Linked DNA regions of Drosophila melanogaster. The protein of the gene in region 3 purifies or fractionates together with the protein of the main gene of each other region. This does not show direct contact. Each region holds a gene or a part of one and is shown on either strand. Other genes may lie near its edges.

Region 1 (7,674 bases), on a different chromosome or scaffold from region 3:
ACCTCCTTGCCGTTGGAATCCACGCCCAGCGGTTCGATCTCGAAATCAATATCCACACGGCCGGCAATCGCGTAGGCAATCACCAGCAGCGGACTGGCCAGATAATTGGCCCTAGTATTGGGATGGATGCGACCCTCGAAATTGCGATTGCCCGACAGGACGCCACAGCAAACCAGTCCGTTCTTCTCGATGGTGTTCACTACGTTCTCATCGAGCGGGCCCGAGTTGCCAATGCAGGTCATACAGCCATAGCCCACAATGTCGAAGCCCAGCTGCTCCAGATAGGGAATCACACCGGATTCCCTCAGATAGTAGGTAACCACGCCAGATCCTGGTGACAATGAGGTCTTGATATACGGCAAAATACTCAAGCCCTTCTGCACGGCATTCTTGGCCAGCAGACCAGCGCCCAACATCACCGAGGGATTCGAAGTGTTCGTGCACGAGGTGATGGCGGCAATCACAACAGATCCATGACCTATCTTATAGCTCTTCCCATCGTCCCATTGGAATTCACCACTTGCAGCCAATGCACTCGGTGGTATGGCGAATCCCTTGAAGCCGACAGGACTTATGAGGCACGACTTGAAGTCTTCGCACATGCTGGAAACTGAAACGCGATCGTGCGGTCGCTTGGGCCCCGAAACCGAGGTCACCACGGTGGATAAGTCCAAAGTTACAGACTGCAGGGTAAAAAAGTGATTCGTTAGTATGTCTTTGCATTGGAAAAACAGAATCTCACTTACCTCCGTGTATTGGGGATCCTGATCCACAAGGGAATAGTCACGAAGTTGTCGAGTGGCCTTCAAATACTTCCGGATAATATCGATTTTCTTCTCGGAGCGATCTAATGATCCACATCCATGGATATCAAGTAATAAATTTAGATAATTTTTAAGATTGACTCACTGGTTTGGCGCATGTAACTCAGCGTGTTTTCATCGATTGGGAAGTAACCCACAGTGGCTCCATATTCCGGACACATGTTGCTGATGGTGGCGCGATCCGCGATGCTGAGCTCTGCCACTCCGGGGCCGTAAAACTCCACGAACTTGCCGACGACACCAAGCTGACGCAAATGCTTGGTAATGGTCAGCACCAGATCGGTGGATGTGGCCAGAGGGCCCAGTTTGCCCTCCAGCCTGTAGCCAATCACCTCTGGCAACAGCATGGAAATGGACTGGCCCAACATTACGGCCTCCGCCTCGATACCGCCAACACCCCAGCCGAGAACACCTAATCCATTGATCATTGTAGTGTGGGAGTCAGTGCCCACAACGCTATCCGGATAAAGGATCTTAGATCCGTCCGCTGAACTGTCGCTTTCGAAAACCACTCGGGCCAGATACTCCAGGTTAACCTGGTGCACAATGCCAGAGCCGGGTGGCACAATTAGCATATTGTCAAAAGCGCGAGCTCCCCATTTGAGGAAGGTGAATCGTTCCTTGTTGCGCTGGAACTCTAGTGACTCGTTCTTGGTCAATGCGTCCGAGGAGCGAACGAAATCCACCTGAACGGAATGGTCGATGACCAGGTCGGCAGGGCAGATGGGATTGATTTTCTCAGGATTGCCGCCCAGCTCGCGGACAGCATCCCGCATGGCAGCAAAATCCACGACGGCGGGAACGCCAGTAAAGTCCTGAAAGCAGGGAATATCTTAAGAAGTCACATACAAACATAATCTATGTGATGCAATAATCCACACCTGCAATATAACACGAGCTGGCTTGAAGGAGACTTCCACATCGCTGGTTTCCTGCTTCAGCGATGGAGTCCATCCCAGGATGCTCTGCACATCCTTCTCCAGCACATGAAAGTTGTCACAGTTGCGCACCGCTGATTCCAGCAGAACGCGAATGGAAAAGGGCAGTGACTCTGTGGGGGGTTAATAATATTCATAAAGATAACAACAATAATGATAACGAACAACAATAACGATTACCAACCATATTTGCTGTCGATGGAGGGCAGATCAAAATACTTGTAGACGTTGCCGTCCTGGGTGAATGACTCCTGGAACTGGGCAAAGGGATTGGCGCCTGCAAGGAAGACAGGATTAGCGTACAGATCAAATACTCCTTTTTCCAATTAAATCCCACCGGAGCCGGACATTGTGGAAAAATTAAACAGAAAACCAAGCAATGTGATATAGAGATGAGCGCGTGAGGAACCGCTACCAGGCAAAACTTGCTCATCACTAACGCAAACATTATATTATCGATAACTGAACATGAAAACAAACCGGTACACAGTAAAAAATATTTATTTATTACTTAAAATGAAACATTTGTAAATTATAGTGGAATAATTTATCATTTTTGTGATTCGAAAATAATATTGGATATAATATTGGATTGATTGCTTTTTTATTTTAGTTCAAAATAAGGTATTTAAAATAACTTGTTTGCATGTCTTTAAACGCTTTTCCCTTCCTACATGCTAATTTCGTTAAATAAACTTAAATATTAATTATGTTTTCTGCGGTTTATTGCAATAGTTACATGGTAGGCTTATTGTAATGTCACGTAGTATAATTGGTATTTGTAATCTATATAAATAATATGTATAGGGGATTATCATCTAAAGCTGCGTCGGGATGCAAAGCCTGTTTTATGGCGCAAGCAATTTGGCAGCGGGGATAACAAGTCTGTGATGGACGTCTACAGGTAGATTCGTCGCAGGTCCTTCGGCGTGGTAATCGAGTTGCACTGCGGGCACAGCTTTCGCGCGCCGAGCGTCTGCAACCAACACTGCTCGCAGTGGACGTGCCAGCAGGACACGGAGATGGCGGGATTCTTGTAGTCGTCGATGCAGATCAGGCACTTGTACTTGCCCTGCGCCTGCTTTTCGTAGAGCCGCAGCTTGGCCTTCAGCGATTCGATGATCTGCTGCTGGTTTTGGGAGGTGGATCGCGTGGACCGCGACGTAGACGGCTCCTCGCTGGCTGGTGGAGCCTCCACGTTGCTTGTGCTGGCAGGCTCTTGCTCGGTGGCTTCGCTGGAATGGTTTGGCTTGGGCCCATCGCTGGAGGAGATAAGTCGGCGCACGTAGCTGGTAACATCCGCCTCGGAAACATTTCCCTCTGTGTCCTCGTTGACCAGTGGGATCACATCGCCCTCGCCATACTGCGTAGGACCATAGATGTGAGTGTCATCCTCGTCCACGTTGAGATCTTCGTCCTCGTCGTCCTGCGCCTGCTGACTGCCATTGTATTTGATTCTCTGGCCCAGGCCCAGGGCGGAATAGCCTCCTTGCACGAGAGTGGAGACGCGAATGCGCTTCTGTCCCGCCCACTCGTACTCTTCATATTCCTCGCTGTCCTCCGAGTCCTCACTCGAATGCCGCTCACCATTGGCCTGACCATTGCGGCGGCTCTGGCGCAGGCAATGATTAACATGCTCTTGGATGTTGGACTGCGGAAAGTTGTGGTTGCACACGGGACAGGTGGGTTGGCTCGATTCGGCAGCAGCTACGGACGGAGTTGCTGCAGCTGGAGGAGGAGCAGCTGCTACCGTAGGATTTACAGTTGCTGGTGGGGCAGGAGAAGCCGGACGCTTCCTGGTGCGCTGGCGCTGACGGGCCTGCCGATTGCGCTGCACCCGCTGGAACACGCTCCACGGTTGTCTGCCCCCCGATACCGAACCGGATTCCTCGGACGCGGTTGCTCCGCTAGTTGGGGTCGGTGGAGTGACAGCGCTAATGGGATTGTGCAATCGCTCCATCTCCACTTGGCAGTGATCGGCCACCTGACTGCGCTTGATCTTCACGTCGCATGTGGGACAGATCACGTCGTCGTCGCTGTTTCTGCTCAAGTGCTGGGCGAAGTTCTCGCCGTTGGACACCGTGTCCGTAGCCATCGATTCCTCGGATCCACCGCGGACTCTTAAGGGTAAACGAAGTTAAAAGATTCTGTAGTCGGATTTTGTTTTGTTCGATAATCTCTGTCCAAGCCACGCGACGCCGATTTCTTACGTTCTCGTACGGTGGAAAACGGTCACACTGATTTCGTTATTTTTCGTGTCAGTGGAAGTGGTCATTGCGATATACATCGTAAAACCGTTACAAAAGCGCCAAGCACAGTGATTAATATGCTTAAGCAATAATTAAAATTTTATTCACTTAAAAATATCTTTATAATAATTGATTATTTGTTTGAATTCCGTGTTAATTAAAACTTCAAAGTTTGCATTTTGCATTCCAACAACTCTTTTGACCTTAAGTCTTACAATAAAATAATTAAACGTACTGATTTCTTAATTTTTACTCTACTCTGGTTGGTCTTAATACAGCAATATATATATATTATCAGATTGCGTTGTTTACATGCCCGATATAACATGTGACAGATAGTGTCTCTCCCTCACTGTTAGGAAATTTTTATAAAGCACAGCCCCCGCTTTGATAAAAGTTTAAACATCCGAAATGTAAGCTATTTTAATTTCCTTTCTTCGTTAAATTAAATAATTTGACGGTAAATGTAAATTAACTGATAGTTCCATGGCACTTTATCGCTATCGAGAAATGCCCAGCCAAAACGATAGTATCGAGACAACATCGATTTAAGTTCCAGCTCTATGAGGGAAGCAAAACATTATTATTTTCGTCGTTTTTATTTTTTGATTATATAGAAAAGTCAGTGGTCGAGGAACATGTGAAAGTGGAAAAGCGACAGAGCTTTTCAAGCAGAGTGTAAGTGCATACAGGTTGAACCCAAAACCGACGCATATTTTTGCGAAAGTGCAAAGCAGACGGCGAGAGTGTGAAAAGGCAGCGAAAAGAGAATAGAGAAAAAATATAGCAGCCAGTTTCTCCTGGGCGTGAGTGTGTGTGCGTGTGCCATATTGTTAAATAAGGCAAATATAGTAAAATAAACGTAGAAAAAACAGCAACAACTATGCATCAGCAGTACCAGCAGCAGCAACAACAACAGCAGCAGGGTAACCTTGTTGGCTACAACAACAAAATGAACGTCTTGCCCAATTACACGCTCAGCGGAATGAGCTCCTTTGATGCCGAATCGCTGCCAGATTATTCAGAATTTGATTCCGAATCGGTAACCCTGGACTATTACAAGGAAAGGTATATTCCTGAACTCAAACAGATCGCATTTTGTTTTGCTTCCGTTCTTCCGCATAGCACACAACACACACACACACATATATAAACATACGTGTATACGAATTCCCTCGCCCTTGCCATTGTTGTTGTTTTGCATTTGGCCGTTTGCCCCAATTTTGCCTGCCGTTACCGTTACGTTCTATATAGCAATTAACCGTTATGATCCTGTTGCCATGCCACTCATTCACACACACACACTCACACACACAAAGTCGGTACTCGCTCATCTGCGAAATGTGTTTTTGTTTTTATTCCACATTTCTAGCCGCTATATGTAAAACTATATTTATCTCCGTCTAGCCCGTCGAAATATCTTGAGATACATTAGACGCAACATCTACTTACACAAACATATGCATCTTTGTTTGCGTATCTGAAGATATTAAAATTGGCAGGGAATCGTGCGAATTAGGCATAATATGCAGTTTTAACGAAATTTTGATACACTTCCTATTTGTTAGCAACTATTGAGCAAGATCGATAATAAGAAGACTCTGTTTTATAATATTTGTTCAAAATTTCATTTCAAGATGCTGATATTTTTTTTACAAACGTACATAAATTGTCACAAGTCTGACCTATTCTATTGTACTCTCAGTTAGGGTATAACAATGGAATGCGAATGGATAATTAGCATGTCGGTATTTCCAGCATTCAAAATGCTTAGTTGCAGTCCGCCTTGCAGCATAATTTATGTGGGGACTGCACCTCATCACCCCAGCTTCCGTCTTTTGTCATTGAGCCAAAATACGCCCCCCAATGATGACTGAAATATTCCGTCGCGTTTTTGTCTGGCACAATAGAGCGATTTCAATTTAAACAATCCCAAACTCATTCAACTGTACCAACGCATTGTTTTGTAAATTGCGTCAGTTAATACAAAACATACATACTACATTGATGTCTACAATTCTGGTCAAAATAGTATAGCTAAAGTTTATTCTGCTCTCAACCAAATTCTGATCCTATTTTTTTTGCATATCAATGCTAAATCTAAAGTTCAATAGTTGTTGTTCATTACACATGATAATAGAATGATAATAGTTAAAAACCTAAAAATTTGAGCACTACCGTAGTTTTAATTGTCGCGTTGATGCAGTTCGATTGGAATAAACCCCATAATAGTTAGCCATTGTCTTTGTCGATATTGTTGCTCGAGTTGTTTTTGCATGTTGCTGCTGCTTACTTAACTGTCTTGATGTAAACAATCATGTTGTACAAACCATGTGCGCCAGTCGGTCTAATCGAATGTCACCAATTTCTCTATTTCCCGTCCCGCTAACAAACAAATCCCCCCTCTTTGACAATACAGATGTTGAACGGGCTGCTTCCGCCAGCAATTTGAAATTGAAAACGCATTGGATAAACCTTAGCGCGCAAACCAAAAGCAATAAAACGCCAATTGAAGCATTTATATTAGATTGTTAAAGCCAACCGGCGTAGCATTTACTTGCCTGCCCCAAAAAAGTAAAAAAAAACAAAAAGAAAAGAAAAGAAACCCTTCCAACATCCCACTAAGCAAAACTAACCAAGAAACGCATTGAAACGCATTCCAATTAGTAGCTGCGGGCAGCACATTGCCTGCATATACATAGTCGATAAGGTGAGTTTGGCTGGCCTAATAAGCCGGTAAAAATACCCCTACCCCCGCAATTAATCACAATTATCATGCGCGCAGTGTTCTACGTCCACCAGCGGAGAAAATGGCGCCGACCACGACGATTGAGACCATCACAATCACGAGGCCGCTGAAGGTATGCATTTGGCCTAAAGTTTCGGAAACGTTTACAGATTGCACCGACTGATTTCTCTGCCCTCACAGGTGATTGCATTTATCTGCGGCGTCATCGTGGTGGCCCTCATGATTATGGCTCTGGCGTCCACAGATTGGTTAATGGCCTCAGACTGGCGGCAAGGTCTCTTTGTGCACTGCATCGAGGATGATTCGGTGCCGCCGCTGCCATTCAATATCCAGGATCCGCCAGGATGCTACTGGACCCGCGATGTCGGTATGTATTGCATGAAGAAACAGCAATCTTAAGCTCGAATTTAACATATAATTCGTATAATGTCCCTTAGGCTACATTAAGGCCACAGCCGCTCTGTGCATCATCACGCTGATAACGGACGTCATTGCCACAGTACTGACAGGTCTGGGCCTCCGGACGCAGAATCATAATCTAAAGTATAAGTTCTATCGTATAGCAGTATTGGTGATGCTTGTATCCTGTGAGTAACTAGCTGAACTTATGTCAGAATCACATGTTAAATATAACTTTTTCGCAGTGCTGGCCGTATTGTCCGCCTTGATCGTATATCCAGTATGCTTTGCCGGCGAACTAACCATGGGTATGGTAGCCTGAAACCTTGATGTTGAACTTCTTTCCACTGACTTGTATTCCATTTAATGTTATAGCCAATCGACGAGTCTGGGAATTTGGCTGGGCCTATGGCGTCGGCTGGGGTGCGGCCATCTTTCTATTTGGGGCCGTTGTCCTGCTGCTCTGCGACAAGGAGTCGGAGGAGATCTACTATAAGGAAAGGAAAATCGTACAT
Region 2 (7,573 bases), on a different chromosome or scaffold from region 3:
CTTGGGCTGCTGCAGGCAAACCCGGCAAACGATCCACTTCTGCGTGCTCGTTGCCGCTGCCGCCGGACTCGCATGTGCTGCCGAGTCTCTCATTGTCGCGAATAGGAGATGGATCTCTTCCAGGAGGCTACTTACCCTCCGCTATAATATTTATAATAACACGCTCGCTGGACGAAGACGACGCCAAAAAAATAGATTGTAGTCTGGAGCGAAGTGCACGCGTTGCAATGCGAATGTCGCCACACAGGGTGACCACAGTCGACGCTAAGGGTATTCCATTCGCTACTTCAAATATTAAATATATAATTAAGAATACGAATGCATTTTGTGGGCAGTTAAATAAATCAGTAAAATTGGAATTCAAGTGTTTTACAATTTAAATATATAAAAGCTTGATTAAGCAGTTTAATACAATATTATATGTCAAGCTCATGTAAAGTTCCATCGTTCCATAAGACAGTGTGGTCATTACTGTACTGAAACAAAACTACTTTGATAGAATAGTGCTTTTCCTTTTTATTATATAAACGAACTTAAAACCATTTTCCTTCAATATTTGTAAATTGAAAATAAAATTAATAAAATGACGCGCATTTTTATATTATTTTCTACCAAAAAAAAATTATTTAAAACATTTGTTTGGTAAAAAGTGCACATACAGCTATGTACCCTGTACGCTCCATGTAGTCGTTCATAACGTGCATTCACCGTATCAACTTTGGCGGGCGCGTTTCGCTGTGAATGGCCAGTGGCCGTGGACGCTTAAATTCAGCTGTTTGAATCTTCTGCAACAACCGAAGTGATTGTTTTATCGAATTAGCCATGAAAACTGAGTCCAACGAGAAGTGGGTGGTGTGCCGCGTTTGCCTGAACAATCCCAGCGAGGGCGAGGAGCTGCTCCACGACATATTCAGCGAAACGGCAAGCACGCGACTGGACCAAATGCTGCACATTTGCGCAGGCATTCCAGTAAGTGTGAATCCTGCTTGGTTTGCCCATTTTAAATTATTCCAACCCAAACAGGTCAGCCTAGATGACAACTTCCCGGACAAGATGTGCAGCAAGTGCGTGCGCTGCCTGCGGCTCTGCTACAAGTTCCGTCTGACATGCCAGCGATCCCATCAGCACATTATGGACATGCTGGACCGGGAGGCCAGCAATGCTAACGCCGCCGGCGAAGGGGATTTGCTTAGCATCGCGGAGGACCTTTCGGTGGAGAGCGTACTGAAGTCGTGGGAGGACTACGCCAGTCAGCTGGATGGCGGCATGAAAGTGGAGGGCGAGGAGGATCAGCAACATCAGGTTATCACCTATGTCGTGGAGGATGGTGATACTGATGATACCAATATGTTCGATGTGCACGATCCCACGCAGCCGGTGCCAAATGAGATCGAGGAGGCTGAAACCTATGCTGAATACGAGGAATACGAACTGCTCACCAACGAAAACTCGCCGGAAATCGCACAGGAAAAAGGCTCCACCGGCACAGATGTTGCCACAGAGGAGCCGCCCGAAGAAGAAATTGCTGAAGACATACTCGACTCTGACGAAGATTATGACCCAACTCATGCTAAGCCGGAAAAATGCGACCGATCGGGCAGGAAGCCAGTTGCATACCACAAGAATAGCCCAAAAGTGGAAACCTTCAAAAAGAAGGTGGGCAGAAAGCCGCGCAACAAGCTGAGCACATACATCTGCGATGTGTGCGGAAATATCTATCCGACTCAGGCGCGTCTCACCGAGCACATGAAATTCCATTCTGGTGTTAAACCACACGAGTGCGAGTAGGTTTAAAAGTTGAAAGTAAATAGTAACTATGGCTAATAGGATGTTATTATAGGATCTGCGGAAGAGGCTTTGTGCAGAATCAACAGCTGGTACGGCACATGAACACTCACACGGGGAACCGACCATACAAGTGCAACTACTGTCCAGCTGCCTTCGCCGATCGATCCACGAAAACCAAACATCATAGGTGAGAAATATTCGAAACAGTTGAAAGTAAATTAAACTGACATTATTTCTCTCCAGAATTCACACTAAGGAGCGTCCCTACGTGTGCGACGTTTGCTCCAGAACGTTTACCTACTCGGACAACCTGAAGTTCCACAAGATGATTCACACGGGGGAGAAGCCGCATGTGTAAGCATCAACATATTTTACTACTTCATTATCCTGCAATAATAGCTATTCTCTTTCAGCTGTGATCTTTGTGGCAAAGGATTTGTGAAGGCCTACAAATTGCGTTTGCATCGGGAAACGCATAATAGACGTATCACCTGGAGAAATGACGCAGAAGAGAGCACCAAAGCAGAAGATGTCAAGGGGGAAACGCCGGAGTTTCTCAATGAACTCCCCAAAGAGTGACATGTTCTTTTTAGTTCTTATGCAAAGTTTAGTCTAAGTATTTAGTAAGCCGTTGTTTAAGTTCTTCCATTAAGCAAATAAATGTACACAGGATATATTTTTTTGTACAATTTGTTTTTTACTTCTTATAAAAAATTAAATAAGGAAAAATGACAAATTTTAATGGCGGTGCCCTATGGCTTAGAACTTATCCATTAATATATTGTACAATTTTCAACGAGAAACTTATTTAATTTGCACCTCAATGTTTCCTCTTAGTCACTGCAATCATTTCACCTCTTTCGTCCTTTTGTGTGACTTTTCGTGGCTGTTTTTGTGGTGCAGCTGGGAGAAGGACTTCTGGCAGTACTGGCAGCTAAATGGTCGTTCACCGGTATGGGTTTTCAGATGAACCCGGAGGACGTTGGAGTAGCCAAAGGACCTGCTGCAGAACTCGCATTTGTACGGTCGTTCGTTGGTGTGGATCCTAAAGTGTATTTAACGTTAGAAACTTCCGTGGATGTCTTAAGATTTAGATTTGAAGTAACTTTTATCAAGACTTGTTAACAATTAATTGACATTAAAGCTGATTAACAGAAATATATCTCTTTTATTCTAGTTATGACAGCCCTATATGTTTTTACCTACCTCTGATGCTTAATGCGAGTGGAGGGATCGGCGAACCTGGAGTCGCAATAGTCACATTTGTAGGGACGATTACCGGTGTGGGTGTTCATGTGCCTCGCCAACTGCGGAGTCTGGCGAAAACGTTTGTGACAGATTCTACAAGATAATGGGATTATGCGATTATAGGATACGATGGGAACAAATTCAAATCAAAATCTTACTCGCATTCGTGTGGTTTCTTCGCGCTGTGGACTTTCATGTGGTTGGTCAACTTTACGCGCTCTGAGTAGACATTGTTGCAAATGTTGCAGGTAAAGGAAGCAGCCTGTCCGGAGTCCTCGTCTTCAAAAGTTACCGGTTTGGGACTAAGTGAATAGACAGATTCCTCTGGAGCGGAGATGGCAGGCTCTATGCTGACCAATTCATCGGCACTACAGGCCACATCCTCGCTGCTCTCCAGCGTTACATCGTATGAGTCTAGGTACTCGTACTCCAACTCGCTGTCGCTACCGGTAGCCTCATTCTTGGACAGGTCTCTTGATTCAGTTTTCTTCTTCGTCTCCTGCTCATCGTGAACAATCTCTATGTTTATCTCCTGCAGCTTCTGCTCCTTCAGATCCTTCTCCGTCTGCTGGCAAAGGGATCTGAGTTTGAGGGCAGCTCTGAGCAGCAGGGCGCAGCTGGTGCAGATGCGATTGGGCCAGTCGGGACTCTCACTCAACTGTGGGTAGGTTTTTAATGGGTAATATAGATCATAATATAGATATTCAAAAACCCACTTCAACTCCTGTGCAGCGTTTGATTTTATCTGGAAAATCGGGCTCCGTGGGCATGAGAGACTCATCCTTAGGCTGCACCAAGCAGATGCGACACTTAAGGTCCCTGCTATCCACGTTGGTATGCATTCTTCTGTTATTGTAGGTACAAATTCCGAAATATTTAATTTTTGTTTGTTTACTGACCAAACAATTAAAATTTGTGCGGCTCCGGGGCGAATGGCAATCGGCCCTTCGATAAATATCGGTGACTGGCCAAACAGCGAAGAGGAAGCAGAGTTATTTTGATCGTTAATTTTTGTCGGCCAACTCGTTTGGTTCAAATGGAGATACGATTGAACATGATGACCCTGTGCAGGACTTGCCTGCAGGATGGCGAAGCCCACATGGTGTCTATTTTCCAGACAGCGGACGATAGGCTGCCCGGTGGCGTATCCCTCTGTGACAAAATCGAAAGTTTGAGTGGAATTCAGGTGGGATCCTTTCGTTTTCCTTGATATTTCTAATTAATTTCAAGTAATATCTCATCCATAGATAAGGGCAACGGCAAAGGAGGAAGTGCTGCCCACCAGAATCTGCCTCAGATGCAAGGCATTTCTAACTCTGGCCCACAAATTTCGACAGATATGCCAGCGCTCCAATGAATTTCTCCGGGAATACGTGATAAAGGATGCAGTCGAGCAAGGGGTAGTCAAGGAGGTGGTGCAGCAAACGCGACCTTCAACTCCGCCACCGATAGAGACTGAGCAGCTTGAACCACCAGAGGATGAGGTGCTTGAAGAGGGAGTTTGGTCTACGGAAGATCCCATTGAAGAAACGCCACATGGCCCGGCGGAAAAGGAAAGGCCCACAGTTCTAACGGTGGAAATGCTTCCTGCTCCTTATCCTCCGCCTGCATCTACTCCTCCACCTGCTCCTGCTGGTGCCGTCAAGGGTAAATTGCATGTGTGCGCTATCTGTGGCAATGGATATCCCAGGAAGAGCACGCTGGACACCCACATGCGAAGGCATAACGATGAGCGGCCTTACGAGTGCGAGTAGGTGTACTTACCACTTTTTTGTGTATATAAATGTCTCAGTCATGTGGCTCTTTTTAGGATTTGCCACAAGAGCTTCCACGTCAACTACCAGCTGAAGCGCCACATCCGGCAGCACACGGGAGCTAAACCATATACCTGCCAATATTGCCAACGCAACTTCGCGGATCGCACTTCCCTAGTTAAGCATGAAAGGTAAGCAAAGAATACATAATTATTCCAGTAAAAACATTTCTGTATCTTTTGGAACCTCTATTAATTAACTACAAGTAGAGACTAGCTAATTAATTGTATTTCCTCCACAGAACCCATCGAAATGAGCGTCCTTATGCCTGCAAGACCTGCGGAAAGAAGTTCACATATGCCAGTGTCCTTAAAATGCACTACAAGACGCACACGGGCGAAAAACCCCACATGTAAGTGGTTTCGGTTTTAAACTAAATCAAACCTAAAACTTATCACGTTGCTATTATTACTTCAGATGCCAACTCTGCAACAAAAGCTTCGCTCGCATTCACAATCTCGTGGCGCATCTGCAAACGCAACAGCATATAAATGATCCACGACTGACTGCCTATCTAAGTACCTTTAAAGTGGGGATTACTGTAGCTAATGCTTAATAATATAATATTTATAAGATCGCGACATTTTACCTTTGCTTAAAGCCTAAAACTTTGTATATACGACCTTTGTTATATAAAGTTTGCTAGAAAGATTTCATGAAACTAACTAAAAAGCATTCTAAAAAAAAAAACAAACTGTTTACATTTTTACAATTTATTCTTTTACTTGACTTACTTGCAAAGCGGTACGCAATCTTTTTTCTTTGTTTTGTTCTTTTCTAATTTTTGTTTTACAAAATTTTACAACTTTTATGTGTTGTACGAGGGAAATGCCGAAAAGTGATTGATAAGTGCTGACTTGGCGCTGGTGTTCGAGATAATTGTAGTGTAGGAGGATTATGAGGTCGGTTGTATCCGTTAACAAAATTAAATAACAAACTATGAACTTGGATTGTGTGGGGGCAACGATGACCGGACTGGCTGGCTGATGGCCTTTGCACAGCAAAGAAGCATCTACTTGGCCACCATGCGTATCTTGTCCTTCAGCAGATTGCGCAGCTCGGTGACCATCAGCTCGTGCGAGTCCTTAAAGGTGGCCGAAACGTCGCCGATGAGCGTGGCTTCCACCTCCGGCTTCAGCGACATGTCAGACATAAAGGAGCTGAGGTCGCGTGGCAAAACGGGCGCCTTCCAGGAGCCTAAGGATTGCAGAATCATACCTTAGTTTATCTTTGGGCGATTTGTCTAGAGCCACTTACGTATGGCCGTGTCGCAGGCCTCAAACTTGTGCTTCAGCTGTCGCATCAGCTCCTGCAACATCTGGCTGCGCTCCTTCTCGCTGATCGGCTGCGGTCCATCCACCTTGTTTTCCACCGGCTTCTTCTTGGTCTTGGTCTTTGAGCTTACCTGCAGCTTGTCGTTCAACACGGACAGAAGGAAGGCGTACAGCGATAGCATCTGGAAAAGTTATAAGAACATTGGTGAATTTAAGATTACCTGCTTTTACTACCAACATTTTACCTCTAAACTGGCTGCCACTTTCTGCTGCTGACCTCGCCGCTTCCACAGACCGTCAATGCCGTTGCTTTCGTTGCTCTCGTTGATGGTCTGCACGCACAGCTCCATAGTCGCAATAACATTGTCACCCACCCGCTTGCACTGCTCGGCCAGCTTTGCCGACCCGCTCTGCAAGTCAAGGACCAACTGGGCAAGGTCGTCAAAGAAACGTTCGTATGGCATGTCGAGCAGCAGGTGAAGACGTGTGGGCAGCAGATTGACTAGAAATTTTTGCGCCAACGGCTTGTAGTTCATCACGCGCAATCTCTGGAATAATCCCGTCCAGGACTCCCGCAGGAGCTCCAAGGTGGCCGTCTCTGCTCCCGCTGGCGAATCCTTTAAGCCCGCGCCGTGGTACAAGTCGATGAAAGAGGCAAAGAGTCGAAGCATCAGCGAACGTACTTGAAGCACCTCAACTTCCTGGTCGAACGACTCCCTGCGCTCCTCCGCAGCGTCTACCTCATGTAGCGGATCCCATCGGATAATGGCCCCTAAGTCGCGATTGTCGCTCAACTCATGCCAAGCGATCCGGTCCTCCGCCGGCTCAATACTCATCGCCACATATGCGGATAGATTCTGCGTGATATTGCCATAGCAACTAACCAAGTCACAGATCTGCGCCTCCACCGAGCAGGCCACGTACTGCAAGCTGTTGGTTAACCGCTCCTTGAAGTTCATGAACTCCTCCATTTTTGAAAACGTGCAAAAGCGATATGTTAACGCAATGTATTCCAGCCTTTCCTTATAGCTGTTCGTAAAAAACTTTAGGGTGGCATCGTACACGTTACGATTGCCCGAGAAGCGACCTCCAAGAGCCAACAGTTGGCAGTGCACATAGCCCATGGAGTCCAGCTGAATCTGCTTAATGTCCAGATACTCATACATCTCCTGTGCGCCCACTTGGCAGCCAAACAGATGGTAGATCTTTAGACTTAGCAGTTTCACGTGGAAGTTACTCGTACTGTTTCGCAGAACATACTGCAGCAGGCACAGCGCCTCGAACAGGTGATCCGACTTATTTTCCCGCCTACTCAGATCGTACATTACATTTGCCGCCAGCAGTGCGTATGCATCCGATGGTCCCATTTCCGTAGCCAGCAACTTCTTACCGAAAGTAGTCCTGCCGTGCTCGTAGTGCAGCTTGAGCGCCGTATAGAAGGCAAGCAGG
Region 3 (7,978 bases):
AGGTCCGTGATATTCTCGATTCGATGCACAAGGACTGCAAGATTCCACTGGCCAAGCTTATGGTAGACGGGGGCATGACTGTGAATAATCTGTTCCTGCAGCTTCAATCCGACCTAGTAGGAATTCAAGTACTCCGGGCGAAGATCGCAGAGACAACAGCGCTGGTTAGTACTTTAACTTGTGATGTAAATGCAGCTTCAATAATGCTTCAAAAATGCTTTAGGGAGCTGCAATGGCAGCCTACAAAGCCGTTGAAAACCGATACCAAATGGAGGCTCCACTCTCTAAATCTGGCCCCCGAGAAGCCATAAAGCCATCGATCAGTGCCACCGATCGCAACCTGCGCTACCAAAAGTGGAAAATGGCTATCGATCGTTCACTGAACTGGGAGACTTCGACGCTTCCACAGGGCGAACGGGAGGCCTTTGACGGAGCGTGATCACAGCTAATGTCTGGTAACGTTCATGTTCTTCTATTCGTAAATCAATTGCTTGGTTTTTCGTATTCGAAATTTCCATTTATTACATATACATATAAAAATGTTAATTAAAAACGTAAAGTGTTTTTCTGTGCGCTGTGATGCTCTGGCAGTGTGTTCCGACTACCAGCCGGTCAGTTGATCTACATATTTTCATCAACTATTCCGACGGCAACAGCGATCGCTGCCTGGTCCAACTCGTTGAGCATTACAACGCCCCCGGCCGCCTCGTCGACGGCTACCACGACTGCTGGACCAGCCACGCCTATAGCTGCGGGTGCGACGGCCATACCGGCAGCGAGCTCAGCGTTATTGGGATGCGGATTAGCCACTGCTATAGGGGGAATCGGATTTCCACCTGAAAACGAATTTGGGCTTTAAGGGAGCTGTTACTCTCCGTTTCGAGCCTTACGCACTTGCGTCCAATTCCAGTGGCGGATCTGCATTTGCTTCCGCTAGATTCGTTACAGACTTGGATTTTACACATTGGAAATCAACATGGCGACTCTTTGCTTCCTCCTTCTCCCAGGACATGTGGATGAAAGGTCGCTGCACATAGCTGTAGATGACTTCAGCCCGTCCACCGGGACGCCTTCGGATCTTCTCTTTGTGGGTGGGGTATCCCTCTATGCCACAGCGTATCTTCTTCAGACCGCGATCCTTCATCACCTGTTTGGCCACATCGCGGTTCTCGATGTACTTGAAGAATCGGTGCATGGCAGTGCTGTGCACGGCTGCGTTAGAAATGTTAGTGTTGCTTCCACTTCCGTGATACTAATGCAAACACATTTTTTAAATACACTCACTCTGACAATACTCCTCGCCCATCTGAGGCGGAAACTCTTCATCCCACTCGACCATATCGTCTTCAAGGAGCACCACAACGTGACACTCTCGATCCCCGCGCTGCGCCGAGGCCACCATGAGGGGCAGAATTAGGTCCTCAAGAAAGAGTTCAAATTGTTGTCGCGCTCCTTCGTTGCTAAGCTCGTGGAGAAGGCCTCCTTTATGTCAAACATAACAGAGGGCATGTTACAAGGAAAGAGACGGAAAACAAGCAGAGGTGGCCACAACTAAGGTTCGCCCTGGCAGGAATAGTTCGCGTTATACTCACTTAGGTTCTGGCAGCGCACCGTGGTTGCGTCGAAGGGAATGAGCAGATAATCACAGGCTTCTTTTAGTTCCGGTACCGAAACAGTGGGCGGGCAGCGGATAACACCGCTTTTGTAGTACTCCAGAATGGCTCTGAACACTAAGTGCGAAATGCCGTCGGCAACGTCGTACTCGCCGCGCTCGTTGGTATGAGCGAACTGGAAGCCGGAGCCGAACATCGTGCCAAGCATTGTGGTGGGATGTGCTGTAAGCAGTGATTGCTCCACCGTGAAGCGCACACCGTCCACCAGCATGGTGATCCTTTCGGGAGGGAGCGGCAGGCGGCCCATTCCGGAACCAGTTGCCTGGCAGCTGGGAGATGCTCCGCAAGGGGATTTTATGTCGTGCTTGGGCACAGCACCTCCGCCTGACATATTGTGCTGCGGACGGTTCAGCCGGCTGCGCTCCTTCAGGATGCGCCTCCTCCGCTCCTCGGCTGTTTCGAGAACTTCCTCGCTGCTGTCGCTACTGTACGTGTCCTGCTTCTGGGCAAGGGGCGCCTTGCTACTGATATTGCTACTACTACTGTTCAGACTTGGAGTGTTTGACATGTTTGTTGCGTTTGATGAGCCACTCTTCAAATATTCCAGTACAACACCGTTCCACCGACTTTTCGAGAGAGACAAAGACAATCTGGCAGAGGGCGGTCAAATTAGCGAGGCTCCGTTGAAAAAAAGCCTGCTTATCGCTGCATCAGAGGTCCGATTAAATAGTATTCACGTTACCTTTGTGCGACGCGACTTTTTCCTTTTTACATATAGTTATAAATATACATATTTTTTCTTGTTGGTGCTGGAGATGGGCTCCTGGGTGCGCTCAGTCGATAGTTTTCCTCTGTAATCACAATAACATATTTTTAACCGATATTTATCTTCAATCGCGATGTTTGTTTTCAGCTTATCGGGTTTTTTTTAACGAATAAAAAATTCCTCTCTAAAAAAATAAAAAGATTGTAATTTCATCATTTCGACATTGTTTGTTACATAATTATTAACTTCTATTAAGTTAAGAAAATCTATAATATTTAGAGGTAATAATAAGAAAATTCTTAATTAACATATCTTAACTTAATGGAAATAACTTTTTTTTTCAAATACAAATTAATATGAAAATTCTGTGGAAATTAATTAAATGTTGTTAAAACAAAATACAGCGTTGGGCCGAATGCAACTCTGTATATACCCAAGCTGTGTATCGATACCGACCACCGACTAAATGCACTCGATAGTTTAAATTTGCAACCGTTCATCATGGCGATCTGAGAAAAATAATTTTTGCTCAAAAATAAAATAAATAATCAAAAGAATTGTAATTCCTGCGAACGCAAATGCGATTTTGGGAAACGTGAGTTTGATACGGACGCTTCACGAAATGCGAAGACTGTGAGCGGTCTTCGGTCAGTAACAAGTGCTTGGCGTGTGTGTCTGCGGCGGCAAAAAACCCAAATGTAAAATATATAACAAAATCCCAACTCCCCCAAGAATGGGCAGTGCGAAAGTGGCGCCCTGAGTGGGCGTGTCGCGTGCGGAAGCGCTAGCGACGAGCAGAGTGGCTGTCTAGGTTTGCGGATAGCAATAACAAATAAGTTGTTATAATAAAAGTGTAAAAAAAAGTGCAAAAACTTTGATTGCTTCTGAGTAGTGAAGTGTCGGAGGGGTATGCTGGGTGCCGTGTATAAGCTGGCGGATGCAACACGAACGCCACCTGCTTGCCTCCTGCTTGCACTCACGCGCATAGTAAGCGCGCCCTTAAACGAGCGTGCTATGTGCGAGCGGGAGGGCGCCTGTGGGTTTTGCACCAGTCACCTATTGGCAGCTTGAACGTTTTTCTATATTTTTTGTGTATTTTCGGAAAGCATAGAAAATGTGGACACTTACTGGGAACGCTCCTAATATAAGCGAATAACCCACAAACATATGCCTTCTCTCCCACCAGACTAGCGAATGCTCGTCGAGAATCCAAACCAGTGAGCCAAACGCCAAAGAAAAACTTGCAAAAGTCTGTGGATAAACAACGAACAATAACAAAAGGCAGCAAGCGGAAGGTGGCAGTGGAAGTGGACTAACTCGCCCGTGGAGAAGTGCGGAGCACACAGGACTGCAAAGTGGCGTCGCTACTGGATATTAGGGCTGGGGCAGCAGCGGCGTCCATGTCCACGGGGCACAAAGGGTGGACCACCAAGAATCACGACCGCACCACATCCAGGAGAGCGCAGCAGCAGCAGCCGGTGTGGTGTCGCCAACTGTGGCCTTAAGCATGTAGTAAGTAAATTTGGTTAGTAAATAAATCGCGTGAAATACGTATTGAAGCTGCTTTTGCCTTCTTACTTCTAGGTCTTGCAGCAAAGAACCCGTTCTCTAACAAGCACAAGACACAAGGGACAAGGTACCAATCGAAGCAAAAACACACAAATATCCAATCAACACCAATGAAAAATGTCACAAAGAGGTAAGCGCGGTAATCAGCAGCATCACCAGTCGCACCATCCGCCGCCGCAACAGCATCAGCGCAAGGATGTTGAGCCGCAGCCGCCGCCCACCAAGCGGCGCAAAGGTAGGCCACCTAATGGAGCCACTACGGCAGCAGTAGCTGAAGTGACTGGATCGGGTCCAGCTACAGGATCGGAGCGTGTGCCAGTTCTGCCTTTGTGCAAAAGCAAACATGAAGAGCCAGGGGCGGAAGCGGGGGGAGGAGGACAAGGAAGAGCCGCGGCAGGCGCTACCAGCACTAGCAAATCGAAGTCAACGAAACTGGCAAAGTCGGCAAGCAAGTGCAAGTCGCAGGGGGCGAGTTCTAGTAGCTCCTGGCAGGCGCGGTCTGTAGCGGACATCAAGATGTCGAGCATCTACAATCGAAGCTCAACGGAAGCTCCAGCTGAACTTTACCGGTATTAACAGACCAGCAAACCAATTAGAAACGATTCAATAATATTCAAATTTTAATTGCAGCAAGGATCTCATTAGCGCAATGAAATTGCCAGACTCTGAGCCGTTGGCCAACTACGAGTATTTAATAGTAACAGACCCATGGAAGCAGGAATGGGAAAAGGGTGTGCAAGTGCCCGTTAACCCAGACTCCCTTCCTGAGCCATGCGTCTATGTTCTGCCCGAGCCTGTTGTGTCTCCAGCGCACGACTTTAAGCTGTAAGTTAATACCTAGCATATTTTTTTTTCGTACTTGTGAATTTCTGTACTGAACTGCGGCTCTCGTTTACAGCCCGAAAAATCGCTATCTGCGCATTACCAAAGACGAGCACTACTCGCCGGATCTGCATTACCTGACGAATGTTGTTGCCTTGGCGGAGAACACATGTGCCTATGATATAGATCCTATTGACGAGGCCTGGTTGCGTCTCTACAACAGCGATCGTGCCCAATGTGGTGCTTTTCCCATAAACGCGACGCAGTTTGAGCGCGTCATTGAGGAGCTAGAGGTAAGCTCACTAGACCCCATGCTGAACCAATATATTGACTTTTGCGTTCTAGGTTCGTTGCTGGGAACAGATTCAAGTCATACTTAAACTGGAAGAAGGCTTGGGCATCGAATTCGATGAGAATGTCATCTGCGATGTTTGCCGATCGCCCGACTCCGAGGAGGCGAACGAAATGGTATTCTGTGATAATTGCAATATCTGTGTGCACCAGGCGTGTTATGGCATTACAGCAATTCCATCAGGTAAGCAGCACCTAGTGGAGTGGAAATGTTAGTGTGCTCATGTAAACTTTTGTTTCAGGACAATGGCTATGCCGCACTTGTTCGATGGGAATTAAGCCGGACTGTGTCCTCTGTCCAAATAAGGGCGGCGCTATGAAATCCAACAAGTCGGGTAAGCACTGGGCACACGTCTCTTGCGCTCTGTGGATACCCGAGGTCAGCATTGGGTGTGTGGATCGCATGGAACCCATCACGAAAATCTCTAGCATTCCTCAGTCGCGTTGGTCCCTGATCTGTGTACTCTGCCGAAAGCGAGTTGGCAGCTGCATCCAGTGCTCAGTAAAGCCCTGCAAAACAGCATACCATGTGACTTGCGCGTTTCAGCATGGCCTGGAAATGCGTGCAATCATAGAGGAAGGTAATGCTGAGGACGGCGTGAAGCTGCGCTCTTATTGTCAGAAACACAGTATGAGCAAGGGTAAGAAGGAAAATGCTGGTAGTCATGGGGGAGGCAGTGCCTCAGTCGCAAGCGCCATGCAGAAAGCAAACAGATACGGCAGTGGGGCTGGTGGAGGAGCCGACGACGGCAACAACGCGTGCGGGACAACTGGAGAGGATCCACGCAGGCGGAAAAATCACCGTAAAACCGAACTGACCTCCGAGGAACGTAACCAAGCCAGAGCTCAGCGCCTCCAGGTTAGTAGTTTCTTTTCCGTTGTGCCTTCTGCATGCATTCGGTTGCTAACTTTTCCCATTGATTTTCAGGAGGTGGAAGCTGAGTTCGATAAGCATGTTAACTTTAATGACATCAGTTGCCATCTATTTGATGTCGACGACGATGCTATTGTTGCCATATACAATTATTGGAAGCTTAAGAGAAAGTCTCGACACAATCGCGAGCTTATCCCGCCCAAGTCCGAAGATGTGGAGATGATAGCCCGCAAGCAGGAGCAACAGGACATGGAAAATCATAAGTTGGTGGTGCATTTGCGACAGGATTTGGAGCGAGTTCGTAATCTCTGCTATATGGTTAGTCGAAGAGAAAAGCTTTCGCGCTCTCTCTTTAAGCTACGTGAGCAGGTATTCTACAAGCAGCTGGGAGTTCTGGATGAGATGCGCTTGGAGAAGCAGCAGACCAAACAAGAGCAGCAACAACCTGTGATGGATCTGAACGCTGTAATCTACGCCAACGACGGACCTACTTTGTATGACCGTTTCTACAGCTCTGTGGGAGGACAAACTGTGCCGGCGCAGTACCAGGATTTGAAATACATCCTTGAACAGCTTATGGGTAAGCTGCAGAGTGGTAAACAGGGCCGTGGCCGTGCCTCGCAGTCTCCTAACAAACGCAAGCAGCCTGCTAAAGCTTCGCCAAACAAGAAGCTTAATAATGGCATTCTTAGTTCACGCACGTCATCGCCTGAGAAGACTGTGGCAGGGAGTAAGGTGGGAACGACTACATCCAAGGTACGGTCTCCGCCAGGGAAGAATCCTACAGGGAGGCGTGCCTCGAAGAGCAGCGCGGCGGCGGCGACGTCGACCCACAACAAAAGTCAATTCCACTCAAATATCCGCAGTAGCACGACCTCCCATTCGTCAAGCGGCACTATATCATCAGGTAATTCCAGCTCGGCGAATGGTACCAGCAGCTCCGATAGTTCCTCAGGAAGTGATTCGGGTAGTGAAAGCGGTAGCTCTAGCGCGGGTAGCGGAGTCTCCAAGCGAAAGTCTTCCTCAGGAAGTCCCCTTAAAAAGCAAAGCTACGCTCGGTCCGTTGAGCAGCGGCAAAAACAGCGACAGCGACGTCAAAATGAAGCAGTTGCGGGTGCGTCTGCAACGTATCCGGATTCCAGGTCTGCAAGCAGCTCCAGCGACGGTGAAGACGAGCGATGTAGAAACCGCCAAGAACCAGAGCGCGGTGCGAGACGGGGGCCAATTCAAAGCAAATCAGTACCTAATAGGAGCCAGGCAAGTAGGTCAAAACCTACAACGGAAGCAGACGTTGGAGAGGGAACTGGAGCCTCTGCAAGACGAAAGTTGTCTACGACAACACGAGGACTTGCCCAAATGGATAAAGATGCCGATGAGAGCGTATCGAGCGACGAAAGTGAGGAATTGTTGCCTCTAAGAGGGGAACGACAGCGTGAGAGCACAACGACTTCCGGACTAGCCACGACTGGTTCGGCCATTGGTAGAAACTTGGGACAGCATATCTACTCCGACTCTGAGAGCAGTTCCTCTGAACAAGAAAAAGACCAGGAGGAGCAGGCCACCGTGGAAAGTAATGTTAGTGACTCACAAAACCAACAGACGATTAGAACAAAGGCAGCTATGAAAGAGTTTGTGCCAGGAACAGCAGCCACAACATCCTCTACTTCCCAAGCAGCGTCCTCAACTAGTAAAGCGAAGAACACGCGGGAAGGAAAGGAAGGGGCTGCCAGTATCGGCAACAGTACAAAAACCAAACCGAACCCGAATGCCAAGTTGTATCCGGCAGATCTTTTGGTGGTGCCACAGCGCCAGGCAGCCAAAAAGGCTTCTGAGAACATGCGATCCACAAATCTCGCCACGACGCTACAGCCAGATGTGTCCGACAGAGTCAGAGAGCCAGACATAAACTCCATTTCAGGAACTGCAAAGAGCAAGGTGAAGGATTCAAGCTCTCGTGTGTCGAATGAAGCGGATAAATCAAGT

Evidence for each region. The genes of interacting proteins can lie anywhere in the genome.
Region 1: the proteins of mri (region 3) and RNF220 purify together in Drosophila melanogaster (affinity purification with western blotting; one study listed by BioGRID). This does not show direct contact.
Region 2: the proteins of mri (region 3) and CG4854 purify together in Drosophila melanogaster (affinity purification with mass spectrometry, with the first as the bait; 2 studies listed by BioGRID). This does not show direct contact.

The regions. Positions count from the first base shown.
Region 1 is NT_033777.3:22,722,413-22,730,086, forward strand, and holds RNF220 (ring finger protein 220), read right to left. Parts: upstream 4,003-7,674; 5' UTR 3,858-4,002; coding exon 2,661-3,857; 3' UTR 2,472-2,660; downstream 1-2,471. Other genes in the region: Irp-1A (iron regulatory protein 1A), read right to left, coding at 1-683, 747-847, 910-1,639, 1,706-1,875, 1,947-2,039, 2,100-2,112; CG45049 (uncharacterized protein), read left to right, coding at 4,895-5,079, 6,797-6,872, 6,941-7,127, 7,198-7,347, 7,405-7,467, 7,535-7,674.
Region 2 is NT_033777.3:20,024,460-20,032,032, reverse strand, and holds CG4854 (uncharacterized protein), read right to left. Parts: upstream 3,976-7,573; 5' UTR 3,879-3,975; coding exon 3,753-3,878; intron 3,695-3,752; coding exon 3,195-3,694; intron 3,130-3,194; coding exon 2,995-3,129; intron 2,834-2,994; coding exon 2,635-2,833; 3' UTR 2,472-2,634; downstream 1-2,471. Other genes in the region: idc (identity crisis), read right to left, coding at 1-93; trem (trade embargo), read left to right, coding at 823-969, 1,024-1,784, 1,841-1,975, 2,032-2,142, 2,202-2,367; CG4424 (uncharacterized protein), read left to right, coding at 4,073-4,222, 4,284-4,786, 4,847-4,981, 5,092-5,202, 5,268-5,406; psidin (phagocyte signaling impaired), read right to left, coding at 5,863-6,047, 6,108-6,306, 6,370-7,573.
Region 3 is NT_037436.4:194,675-202,652, reverse strand, and holds mri (mrityu), read right to left. Parts: upstream 2,480-7,978; 5' UTR 2,182-2,479; coding exon 1,593-2,181; intron 1,483-1,592; coding exon 1,285-1,482; intron 1,213-1,284; coding exon 895-1,212; intron 837-894; coding exon 622-836; 3' UTR 501-621; downstream 1-500. Other genes in the region: Gk1 (glycerol kinase 1), read left to right, coding at 1-164, 224-439; rno (rhinoceros), read left to right, coding at 4,066-4,517, 4,579-4,773, 4,847-5,063, 5,116-5,305, 5,364-5,980, 6,050-7,978.